Xenopus tropicalis: one gene and its partner. The protein of the gene in region 1 purifies or fractionates together with the protein of each later gene. This does not show direct contact. Links are inferred from orthologs where the notes say so. Each region holds a gene or a part of one and is shown on either strand. Other genes may lie near its edges.

The links.
Region 2: the proteins of srrm2 (region 1) and pnn purify together in Homo sapiens (affinity purification with mass spectrometry; 3 studies listed by BioGRID and IntAct, with this or other methods). This does not show direct contact. The link is inferred for Xenopus tropicalis from reciprocal best matches to the Homo sapiens genes SRRM2 and PNN.

What each region holds. Positions count from the first base shown.
Region 1 is NC_030685.2:12,494,516-12,501,084, reverse strand, and holds part of srrm2 (serine/arginine repetitive matrix protein 2), read right to left. Parts: intron 5,714-6,569; coding exon 5,612-5,713; intron 5,322-5,611; coding exon 5,157-5,321; intron 5,055-5,156; coding exon 4,974-5,054; intron 3,344-4,973; coding exon 3,287-3,343; intron 3,207-3,286; coding exon 3,174-3,206; intron 3,028-3,173; coding exon 2,986-3,027; intron 2,638-2,985; coding exon 2,569-2,637; intron 2,367-2,568; coding exon 2,213-2,366; intron 1-2,212. UniProt on the Homo sapiens protein: Required for pre-mRNA splicing as component of the spliceosome. As a component of the minor spliceosome, involved in the splicing of U12-type introns in pre-mRNAs.
Region 2 is NC_030684.2:104,727,081-104,733,649, forward strand, and holds part of pnn (pinin), read right to left. Parts: coding exon 6,502-6,569; intron 5,237-6,501; coding exon 5,164-5,236; intron 2,371-5,163; coding exon 2,276-2,370; intron 2,154-2,275; coding exon 2,078-2,153; intron 1,951-2,077; coding exon 1,795-1,950; intron 1-1,794. UniProt on the Homo sapiens protein: Transcriptional activator binding to the E-box 1 core sequence of the E-cadherin promoter gene; the core-binding sequence is 5'CAGGTG-3'. Capable of reversing CTBP1-mediated transcription repression.

The DNA of each region.
Region 1 (6,569 bases):
TTATTTGATTAAAATGGAGTCTATGGGAGATGGGCAGGTAACAGAGCTGCAAGGGATGGACCAGCAGAAGTATCAAGTCACAGCAAGGAATGCATTGGCTAGAATAGTGCTTATAGCTCAAGAAATGGCCACCTTTACATCTTATAAGCCACTAAACATTTTTAAAATCAGTGTATTGGAAAATTGCTCTAAATTACAATGTCATTCATTTTTTTTATAAGATGACGTCCATTTAATAGCCCTCTATTAAACGGACGTCATCTTATAAAAAAAATGCGAGTTTCCACATCCAGCTCAAATTGCTGACCCAACTACACTTCGATTACAGACCAACAACAGGTCACACTGTGCTGTAGGACCGTAGACTAGACAACAAAATGCATGCAATTTCAAGACTGTACCGAAAATAACAGCCACAAGTAATATGCCTATCCCACCTGTACCAGCCCAAAATGCCACATTTATTGCTTGTGAAGCCTTCTTGGAAGGCTCAAATGGCCTGAAAGCACCAGTGTCAAGATAATAACCTGGCTGTATTTGTTTTCATTCCTACATACATTCTTCAAAGACCATGGTAAGAAGCTAAATTAAGTGCCTCGTTGTCCTGACAATCTAACCAAGTATCAAAGAGGATATTACAGTATCAAAAAGGTGTCCAAAATACCCAAAACATCAAGTAAATAACAATAATCCGATTCAGAAGAACTTCCAATCACACATTTAGTTTTCCAGCCACCCAAGAAAATATTTATTGGGGTATTTCATGGATTTAGTTGGATGCATGCCCACTTTTTTGGGTATTTTCCCCATAAAGCTCATGAAAAAGAGATCCACAGATTTGTCACCATGCTGTGGATAAGATATAGCCAAGACTACAGAGGCATGGTTCAAAAGATTTGGAAAAGCCAAATAACTTAATATATTACTTCTGGCTTCATCTTGATATTTTCCATTCACTGCCTGACAGCAAGTCAATTGTGGGTGGCAGTTTGCAAATGGGACACAGAGCAAATGCAGAAGGCCACCACCCCTCTCCAATACTGAGGCTAAATTCTTCTGAACACCCTTAATGGGCAAGCAACACAAGCGCCCAAAACAACACCGCTATAAATGACCAACAGATTTGCAATGTGATTCTTTGTGAAACTCTTACATTTGTAGGGAACTGACCAGAAAAGGTTACTCTGCCTTCAACTGACACAGCAGCCGTACAAAGGCAAGGGCACACCTCAACCGTACAGCTTATCTCAAGCTCACAGCCAAAGGTCTCTTGGCACCCAGACAGCATTTTTGGCGTTGATGGGTAAAAATTTAAACTACAAATAGTTTTGTGTAGAACTGCTTGACATTTAATGACCAACAAGCTATTTTTCATTCATCCTGTCATAGTAATGCAGGAAAGCATTAAAGTGGTTGGTTCACCCTTTGAGTAAACTTTTAGTATCATGTAAAGAGTAATATTCTGAGGCAATTTACAATTGATCTTCATTTTTTTTAATATTTCTAGTTTTTTTTCGTTATTTCATTTTCAGTTCAGGAGCTCTCCAGTTTAGAGTTTCAGCAGCTATTTGGTTGGTAGGGTCCAAGTTACCTTAGCAACCAGGGAGTGATTTGAATAAGAGACTTGTATATGAATAAAGGTCCCCATACACGGGCAGATTCAGCAGCTTATTGGCCCGTGTAGGGGCAGAAGTAAGGGGCCTGCCCAGCCTATATCTGGCCTGAAATTGGCCAGATATTGATGAGCCAGGTTAGAAAATTCAGTCGGATCGGGGAACACATCAGCTCGTTGATGCGGTCCCCGAACCGACTGCGCCATTGACGCCAATATAATTCGATCGTTTCGCCCCAGGGCCAAAAGATCGAATTAGCCTACAGGTGGGGATATATGGGGTGAAGATCAGCTCACTTGGCAATCTCGCCAAGCGAGCAAATCGTAAAGTGTATGGGGACCTTAAGAGAGGGACTGAATAGACAAAAAAAACGGTAGCCTCACAGAGCAATAGTTTTGGCTGCCGGAGTCAGTGACCCCCATTCAAAAACTGCAAAGAGTTGGAAGAAGGAGGCAAATAATTCAAAAAGCTAAAACAAATAATGAAGACCAATTGAAAAAGTTGCTTATAACTTGTCATTCTATAACATACTAAAAGTCAACACCAAAAACCCACATGTTGATAGAGGTAAGCACGGAAGTAATGTAAACACGACTCACATCTTTATAGCCTTTTTCCGCTGGGCTTCGGCCTCTGTCGCTTCTCCGATTTCTTTTCGGAGAGACGGATCTTTTCCTTTCTGGGCTCTCCTTTGCCGCGCTTGACGGCTTGGCACGATCGGATTTGCTTCTCGGTGGTGGGCTGCTTCTCGATCTAGAAGAAAAAATATTCAGCAATGCTACTACAAAAGCAACTAGTTATGTATGTGTTGGTATCGATTGGTAGGTGTGAGTTGTGGGTGCTGGGTTTACTTGGAAGGGTTGAACTTGATGGACTCTGGTCTTTTTTCAACCCTGTGTAACTGAGGCAGCCTTTTATATTACTCACTACATGAATGGTAGCGCTCAAAAAGTACCTGCTGCGTGATGTTTCATCTCGTGAAGAGGAGGAAACGTCTCTCTGCTTTGGGGAGGCACTAGGAGATCTGAATAATAAGAAAAAAAACCAGCATTTGAAAAAGGGGGACATACCTGACATTAGATTGTCACCAACTGCAACTCCTACTATGTCAGAGTTCACAATACTGCAGCTCTGTTTACAGTCAGTGTAGGAAAGCAGAGCCCCTATGGCATCCAATATACCACATACACCGACGTCAAGCCTCAAGTTCCTTCACTAGATAAAAGTCGTGTCACATTGTACGTTCTTTAATCGGTTAGGATGTTAGAGGTAAATGATTATACCAGGGCAATAAACCTGGCTAATAAAACTGTAGCTATGTTACGGGATGCATTGTATGAAAGGTAATGTCAGTTAGTTCTAAGCCCATTACCTCTTTTTTTTCTTCTCCTTGGTTTTACGTTTGCTCTTTGGGCTGCCGCACAAGAGACAGTAAAGAGGATATTTAGAGCCAGATATAAATACTTAGGCGAGTGTACACATGTTGCCATGCAGTTATAAACTGAACAATGTTATAAAAGGCACGACTCAACCCCACAAGAACAAATTCGGAACCCTCACCTGTGCTTCCGCTTCTTGGAGTTGGAGTCAGATCTAAAGAAAAAAAAAAAAAAGTAAATATTTTGGGGGTGGTGTTTTTAAAAATAGAAGAGTGAAGACCCCATGGGGATTACCTGTGCTTACGGGACTTGGCTTTCTTGTCCTTGTGGCTGGGAGAGCGACTTGAGGACCTGTGGGAAGGCAGAAGGGATTAGAGCAGTCAACTCCTCAGAGAATACTGCAAACAACTGACAAATACGCTGATGGCCTCAGGCGCAGAAATCACAAAGGAAAACTCCTGTTTGTCTTCAGTTTCTTCTACAGATTTCTAGTCCATCTTTTTTCCTCATAAAAAGATCAGTAATGCCAAATAAAGTGTTTTAAAGTGATTAAAATATGTTGTACTTTTGCCCTGCACTAGTACAGCTGGGGTGTTTGCTACAGAAACCCTACTATAGTTTATATAAATACCCCGCTGTGTAGCCCCGGGGGCAGCCATTCCTGCACTGGTACAGCTGGGGTGTTTGCTACAGAAACCCTACTATAGTTTATATAAATACCCCGCTGTGTAGCCCCGGGGGCAGCCATTCCTGCACTGGTACAGCTGGGGTGTTTGCTACAGAAACCCTACTATAGTTTATATAAATACCCCGCTGTGTAGCCCCGGGGGCAGCCATTCCTGCACCGGTACAGCTGGGGTGTTTGCTACAGAAACCCTACTATAGTTTATATAAATACCCTGCTGTGTAGCCCCGGGGGCAGCCATTCCTGCACTGGTACAGCTGGGGTGTTTGCTACAGAAACCCTACTATAGTTTATATAAATACCCCGCTGTGTAGCCCCGGGGGCAGCCGTTCCTGCACTGGTACAGCTGGGGCGTTTGCTACAGAAACCCTACTATAGTTTATATAAATACGCTGCTGTGTAGCATTTGAAATCTGGAAAGAGTCCGAAGAAAATGGCAAAGAATTCAAAAACTATAAAAGAAAAATTAAGACCAATTATAAGTTTGCTGAAATTTGCCCATTCTATAACATATTCAAAGTTAACTTAAAGTGGACCTGTCACCTTTCACAATTCCAAAATAAACTTTAGAAATATAAACTATATTGTTTAAGAACTTATTCTAGATCTCTGCTACCTTTGTAAGCAAAGCCGTTGTATCCCAACCCGCTGCTGCATTTTTGCTGGGTGCGAGCCGCCATATTGATCCGCCATCTTTATGTTTCACGTCTGTCCTGCTCTTTAATATCGCGCATGCGCTGTAAATGAAGGGACGCGTATAGTTCCTCACATCCAAATTGAGAAACTGTCACGCTCCTTTGCGAGTCTGTGCACCCCCAAGAATCTCAGGATAGAGCTCGCTCACAATAGTTAGGCGCGTCTCTACCATAATAACGTGTGCGCGTTCTCATTAAAGCTATGCGAGACTGATAGTCTCTATAGGGAGGGGGAGAATTGAAGGAGTGGTGACGTAGAATAAAAGGAGACGCCTCTATGCCTAAGGCATAGAGGCGTAGCTGAATACTTTTGATTGACAGGGCATAAAGATAATAGGCAATATCTGCGGAAAGACACAGAAAAGGAAAAAAAAAAAAAAAGAGAGCGCTGCTTTTCTGCACTATCTGAACCAGTAGCTGAATTTTCAGGTGAGAGTGACAGGTCCACTTTAAAGGTGAACTGCTCCTTTAATACAGATGAACAATAATTGGGGAAGGGGGCAGAGCTAAATTAAAGCAAAGTACACACAGGAGGAGCCTAAGAACTGCCCCGCCTCTAGAGAAATAACCATGTCTGCCCTCAAACCCCCAACACACTTACCGTCCACGATCTTTCTTTTTCTTCTTTTTCTTGTGTTTGGTGGGAGAAGGGGAGCGAGAACTGCCAGAATCTTCAATCAGACTACAAGAGGAAGAATCTCATTAACCCATTAAGTCCTCAGTGTACAGGAAAATGCACTGGAGGAATGCCATTCCCCCACATACCATGAAAGCTAATTCTTACCTATACTGCTTCTGCTGCTCCTGCTGTTTGGCTGCTGCATTGGCAGCTCTGCGATTGGGGTCGAAACTGCTCCCGTCCACATAGCTGTCACTGATCCCGAAAGCCTCACGTAGCCGCTCATTCTTCTTCTCGTTTGCTTCGGCCATTTGATGCGTCTCTGAAATACTAAACACAGAGAAAGTGTGTAAAAATGGGGAGTAATAAACAAATAGAATCAGTTAACATGTGCTTACACAGTGAAAATAGCTTCTTGCAGCCCCAGGTGCACGCTGTACCCACTGACGGGCAGATAAATACAAAAATGAAGAAAACAGCAGCACTCCGGTTGTTTTGAAAAATGTGAGTCTTTACTCAAGTGCCAAAGGCAACGTTTCGGGCTTCACTCCAGGCTTGATAAATGAGATATACCCTCCAATAAAGGCTTGCAGCTCACAAAGCTTAGTTTGGCCACTTACTTGGCTTTCTGCTTCTCCTCTTCTTTGCTTTGCGTCAGATCTTTCTCTTGCAGCATCAGTCTGAATGTGGCCACTTTCTCTTGGATCTCAGCTTCGCTGTACCTGGAGCGCACACAGAAGAGCATTGAGAAATTAAGATAGGGTATTATACAACTTGAAACGTTTCATTTGCTGCTTCCTTTAAAGGGGCATCTCACATTTAAATAAACTTATGTTATAGAATACCCTATTTTTAGCAACTTGTCCATTGGTCTTTTTTTTTTTCTATTTGCCTTCCTCTTCTGCCTTTTTGCAGCTTTCAAATGGTGGGGCCACTGACCCCAGTAGCCAATAATCCTACTGCTCTATGAAGCTACAAGGTTATTGTTACCGTTTACTTATATTTCGATTCAAGGCCTCGCCTATTAGTCTTCTTGCCTTTCATTCAAACCACTGCCTGGTTGCTAGGTTAAACTGGATGCTAGCAACCAAAACCTGCTAAAATCCCAAATGGTAGAGCTGCTAAACAAAAAGCTATCTTGAAAAAAAAAAACAAAAAATGAAGATCAAATGCAAATGGTCTTAGAATATCACTGTCTCCATCATTTTAAAAGTTAACTGAAAGTGCACTGCCCCTTTAAAGGCAAACTATACCCCCAGAATGTATACATAACCAACAGATAGTTTATATTTTGTTAAGTGACCTATTAAAGAATCTCCCCAAACTGGAATATATATATCAGTAAATATTGCCCTTTTATATCCTTTCCCTTGAGCCGCCATTTTGTGATGGGCTGGGTGCTCCCTCAGAGATCAGCTGACAGGAAATAATGCAGCTCTAACTGTAACAGGAAGTAGTGAGGGAGCAGAAGGCAGAACTCTGTCCATTCATTGGCTGATGGGGCCTAGCATGTATGTGTGCCTTGGCTTGTCTGTGTGCACTTTGACTCCTATGATCCCAGGGGGCGGCCCTTAATTC
Region 2 (6,569 bases), on another chromosome or scaffold:
TGTTACAAAGTGACAATGTTCCACAACATTGTATGATAAATGTATGTATACATTATTTCAACATAAAAGAATAAATACATAAGAACCAATAACCAATACAAGAGGTAAGGAGTATCCTGCCCCCCTTAAAAAAATAGTTTGTCTTAAACATTAGAAACTGAAAAATTCAATTCAGTTTCCTCAAATAAAAACTGTTGTTCAGTACACTTTCATTTAAAATTCTTTTTTTTTTTTTTACTCTTGCCCATGCTATTTACCCACATTTGCCAGTGGGGGGGGGGGGGGGGGTGAGAGAGGCCCACAGACTGTTGCTGGGTAAAATAGCAGCCTCAGCTTTCCTTCTTCCCCCTGGGGACACACAAGGAGACAGTATGGCCTGGACATGACAGGGAGAGCAGACCTTGTTGGTGGGGCTGGCGCTAGTGATGCATGAACTCCTTTCCCCTAGCCGTTTGCGCATGTGTAATAGGATTGCCTGCGTCTGCGGTTACCACACGTGCGAACAGCTAGGAGAAAGGAGCTAGGGCAGATAAAAGGTATTCCAGTCTTCCTTATCGCTTCATGCCGAAATGCATAGCGCGGAGCCACGCCCATCACTAGGTCTTATTATCGGTGTAGGGCTTATATTTAACAAATGCATAGAAATCCTGCTAGGGCTTATTTTTTGGGTAGTTCTTATTTTCGGGGAAACACAGTACTAGTAGCTCTGTGTGTCGTCACACTACAAAAGTTAGTCAGTCCGTGGCCATCAGTTGCTCTGTGAGAATCGAACGGAAACATTTTTTTTTAGGCCAGTTTGATCTTGCCTGTCACTTTTACAGGGGAATGATATAACCTTTACTTGTGAGAAGCTGTCTGCTTGCATCCATGTCTATCACACAGACAACTGCTCAAAAGAAAATAGCCATGTGGAAGACCAAAAAGACCCTTGGATAGGCGAAATTGAATGCAAAAATAAATAAACTTTGCAGATCCGATAAAGAATTGGATTTCATCATTACTATTAAGATGCAGCAATTTGTCCTGCTGGTACAAACCCTATAAATAGACAAAACCCCTAGTGTGCACTTTACAGTGCCATCATCATACTCGCATCACATGATACAGATATGATAATACTTTTGATTAGAATGCTATTTTGTCTGACAGCTGCAGTCTGTAGGCCAAGAGAACCAGGGTACAGCCTAGGATTATTCAGTATCTCTCATATCTGCCCTATATGGTTTACAAAGATTACAGATTGATTGTAACCCCTATATTACAAGTGGAGATTTTTCTATTAGACAAATCTTGCAGCTTCTTGAAGGTGTTTTGTACTTGTGTGTATTCTAATAAAAGTTCTTTTTTTTTTTTTTGCATCTAAGTGTGCATAGATTACAGTAATGTAGTAGAACGCTTTGCATTCACCCACACAAAATTCACCATGGCGCATCTAAATCAGGACAGGTGCACTGAGTACTTCCAAACAAATACATAATTCAGATTTTGCTTTAAGCACCAGAAAGCTGGACATAATTTGAAATTACAAATGAAAATTTCAGGATTACCCATATCAGTTTTATTCATCTCAATAAGTCTGGGTAATTAAAGCAATTTTTGACTATGCTTAACCCGGAGTCCACAATTAGATCTCATATTCAGTTTGCTATTCTGATTTGCTGCATGCTTATTATGAACATTTGTACATAGTTTAAAATGAATCAGAAGTAGAAATGGTCCCTTTTCAAAGCAGCCACTAACTATTAGAACAACATATAAACCAATTTTTTAAAATGTAGTTAGTGTGTAACTTACCAAGTGGGCAAGCTCAACCTTCTGTTCCAGAAGGCGTAGCTCTGTCTGTTTAGTCCGCCTTTCCTCAAAGAGCTCACGTCTCTCAGTCTCCACTTGTTTCTTTTCTTCTTCAGCCTGCACTTCAAGCTTTTGTTCTATTTCGTGGCGCCTTTTTTGCTGCAGTTTGGATAGGAGAAATTGTAAGTAAATTAGTCACTTTGGCTGAAGACGTGCAAAACAAATATTTGCATGACATGTTATATTGGCACAGACAAAAAATTACAAATTACCAAGCATACATTACCTGCTCTGTTGCCACATTTGACTCTTGCTTAAACTTCTGAAGAGTACCCATCAACAGGCCAAATATTCGCCGATTCCTGTAATTAAGAAGAAAATAAAATTATATGCAAGACTTAAACCTCCAACTTCGATTTTAAGTCAACTGTTTTGACAAAAAAGAAAAAAAGGGGGGGGGGGTGCAAAAGTAAATTTTTTCTACCTTTGTTTGCCTTTCTCATCCATGTTCTGATCTTGTATAAGATCTCGGCGTGTACGTTCTTTGGAGGTAGCAACAACTGAGGACTGCAACGCTGGCTACAATTTAGAAACAAAATAGGAGTAAGTACCTTTGACACGTAGGACAACATTAAAGCAACCCCACTCTTGGATTAAAGGAGATATATTGTATAAAAAACAAGAATGTGCCAGCGCATTATACTTCTCTAAATATACTTGAGAGTAGTGTTTCAGGCAGATGTACTGAAAATTTCACAAAAAACCCCTACCAATCCCACCCATCTGTTCTTCTTCCCGCTGCCCCCTTTCCCAAACTGTGCAGGGGAGCTGGCAGCCCTCAGAGCACTTCATTGTAGGATAGGAACCAATCAGAAGCTAGGCTGACCTAGAAACTGAAGCCTGTCTTTGCTTGTGTCACTGCAGGGTTGCAATTGGCTATGCCCCACCCACTGTGTGTCTGTCAGGGACCATTAGGACAAACCCACCCCTGATTTTAAACAGACACATAGTTACATAGGGTTGAAAAAAGACCAGAGTCCATCAAGTTCAACCCATCCAAGTAAACCCAGCACACACAACCCACACCTACCAAGCTATACACTCACATACATAAACTATATATACACAACCACTAACTGTAGATATTAATATCACAATAGCCTTGGATATTCTGATTGTTCAAGAACTCATCCAGGGCCCTCTTAAAAGGCATTAACAGAATCTGCCATTACCACATCTATAGGAAGGGCATTCCCCAACCTCACTGCCCTCACCGTGAAAAACCACCTACGCTGCTTCAAATGGAAACTCGGTTCCTCTAATCTAAAGGGGTGACCTCTGGTACGTTGATTGTTTTTATGGGAAAAAAGACCACCCCCTATCTGCCTATAATCCCCTCTAATGTAATTGTACAGAGTAATCATGTCCCCTCTCAAGCACCTCTTTTCCAGAGAAAACAACCCCAACCTCGACAGTCTAACCTCATAGTTTAAATCTTCCATCCCCTTAACCAGTTTAGTTGCAAGTCTCTGCACTCTCTCCAGCTCATTAAATATCCTTCTCAAGGACTGTAGCCCAAAACTGCACTGCATACTCAAGGTGAGGCCTTACCAAGGACCTATAAAGGGGCAAAATTATGTTCTCATCCCTTGAGTCAATGCCCCTTTTTTATACAAGACAGCACTTTATTTGCTTTAGTAGTCACAGAATGACACTGCCTGGAATTAGACACTGCCTGGAATTGTTATCTACAAAAACCCCCAGATCCTTCTCCATAAAGGATACCCCCAACAAACTACCATTCAGTAGATAGTTCATGTTTATATTATTTCTACCAAAGTGCATAACTTTGCACTTGTCAACATTGAACCTCATTTTCCAGTTTGCTGCCCAGTTTTCCAATTTTTTCAAATCGCTCTGCAAAGTGGCAGCATCCTGCATGGAACTTATAGTTTTGCACAATTTTGTGTCATCAGCAAAAATAGAAACAGTACTGTCTATGCCCACCTCCAGGTCATTAATAAACAAGTTAAAAAGCAAAGGACCAAGGACAGACCCCTGCGGTACTCCACTAACCACACTGGTCCAATTAGAAAATGTTCAATTTATCACCACTCTTTGTGATCTATCCTTCAGCCAGTTCTCTATCCAATTACAAATATTATGTTCTAGGCCAATATTCCTCAATTTGATCATTAACCGTCTGTGAGGTACTGTATCTCTGTGAGCAGATCTATAGAGAGCTCCAATAAATAATAATGATAATTTTTAGCCCAAAGTGAAAGCAACACCATAAATTATTCATTATTGCCCACAGAATTAGGGTTTTTTCACGTATCACATACAGTGGCTTGCAAAAGTATTCGGCCCCCTTGAACTTTTCCACATTTTGTCACATTACAGCCACAAACATGAATCAATTTTATTGGAATTCCACGTGAAAGACCAATACAAAGTGGTGTACACGTGAGAAGTGGAACGAAAATCATACATGATTCCAAACATTTTTTTACAAATAAATAACTGCAAAGTGGGGTGTGCGTAATTATTCAGCCCCCTGAGTCAATACTTTGTAGAAGCACCTTTTGCTGCAATTACAGCTGCCAGTCTTTTAGGGTATGTCTCTACCAGCTTTGCACATCTAGAGACTGAAATCCTTGCCCATTCTTCTTTGAAAACATCTCCAGCTCAGTCAGATTAGATGGACAGCGTTTGTGAACAGCAGTTTTCAGATCTTGCCACAGATTCTCGATTGGATTTAGATCTGGACTTTGACTGGGCCATTCTAACACATGGATATGTTTTGTTTTAAACCATTCCATTGTTGCCCTGGCTTTATGTTTAGGGTCGTTGTCCTGCTGGAAGGTGAACCTCCGCCCCAGTCTCAAGTCTTTTGCAGACTCCAAGAGGTTTTTTTTCCAAGATTGCCCTGTATTTGGCTCCATCCATCTTCCCATCAACTCTGATGGACTTCATGGTGTTGTTGTTCCCAATATTCTCTTAGACAACCTCTGAGGCCGTCACAGAGCAGCTGTATTTGTACTGACATTAGATTACACACAGGTGCACTCTATTTAGTCATTAGCACTCATCAGGCAATGTCTATGGGCAACTGACTGCACTCAGACCAAAGGGGGCTGAATAATTACGCACACCCCACTTTGCAGTTATTTATTTGTAAAAAATGTTTGCAATCATGTATGATTTTTGTTCCACTTCTCACGTGTACACCACTTTGTATTGGTCTTTCACGTGGAATTCCAATTAAATTGATTCATGTTTGTGGCTGTAATGTGACAAAATGTGGAAAAGTTCAAGGGTGCCGAATACTTTTGCAAGCCACTGTATGTCTCCTTTAAAAGAACATCATACTTTTTTATCATCTTCATCCTCTGCGTCGCTTTCCTGGCGTGACTCTCTTCTTTGGCGACGCTCCCCACCCAGCCTAGAAAAGTAAAATTACCCCTATTACAAAATTCCACAGGAATCATATGCATTTATTTAAACTGCATTACTGCTTAAATAAAATGAGCGCTATTTCTTTTTAATTGAACTTTGGCCTGATTTCCTTACACAAATACTACACTGTAACACTTATGAAATGTTTTAAATTAGTGGAGCATAAATTCGCAAAAACTTACATTACTGGTGAATGACTGCACCTGATAACTAGTGGTACCTGTAGCCAAAAGCCATCAGAAATCAGCACTTTTATTAAAGGGGTTGTTTACCTTTAACTTTTATTATGACACGGACATTGAAAAACCATGAATGAAAACCAACTGCAGATTTTCTCAAAACATCGGTTATTTAACTTCTTGTTCAGCAGCTATCTGGTTGCTAGGATCTTGTTTTACCTTAGCAACCAGTTTAAAGGAGAGACTGGGGTATGAATAGGAGAGGTACATGAACATTGTCTGATACACACCAAATCTTGATAATTTTTGGGTGAGCGCTGCTACTGAATATAGCCAGAAGCCATCAGCCAACGGCCACGAAAAGACAAGAAGTGTGCAACATCAAGTTTGACTTGAAACTGGGCTATTAACAAGAGGCCCAGGGGGGTGGGTCATGTTCATATAAATAGACAATCAAAACTTCTACAAGTAATTCACTTCACCCAACTCTGTTTAATTTTAACACATATACACAAATGGTTTTTAAACTTCTTTGTCTCAAACAACTACTTTGATCCAACATTTGGTTAGGGCCCTTTAGTTGACAATACAGTTAAACTTATAGATTGACTTGTATCAAATATAAGTTTTACACTGTAGGATCAAACGGTAGATTAACATGGAACTTTAGATTAACATAGAGTAAATACAGACTATTTTACTAAATAATTTGAAATCTTATCAAGTTGGTCTTGTAATTGCTAGGTCAGGTCTTCCAATGTTGCAAAAACCTTGGATATCTGCAGGGTCACAGCCCAAGACATATTTCAGTAAGATGGGTTTTACCCTTTTACTGAACCCCCCCCTCAATCATGCATTGAACAGAAAAAAATACTGTTATATGCAAAGAATTAAAAAGCATTGTAAATAAAATGGACATGGGCTATCCATGGCTTATGAATCAAGTGTTTCAAGTTAAAACACAAAATGAGAAACGTCAAACTGATTCTTTTATGAGGATAAAAATGATGCCAGTATCTCTCCACCTTCCTGCATTGGGCTAGCAATAATGGTGGAAAAAGGCAGTTCTCACCTGTTGAGTGCACCTTCAAAGTCTCTCTGTTTGGCTGGGGGCCCTCCTCCACTATCAGAGAGTCCACG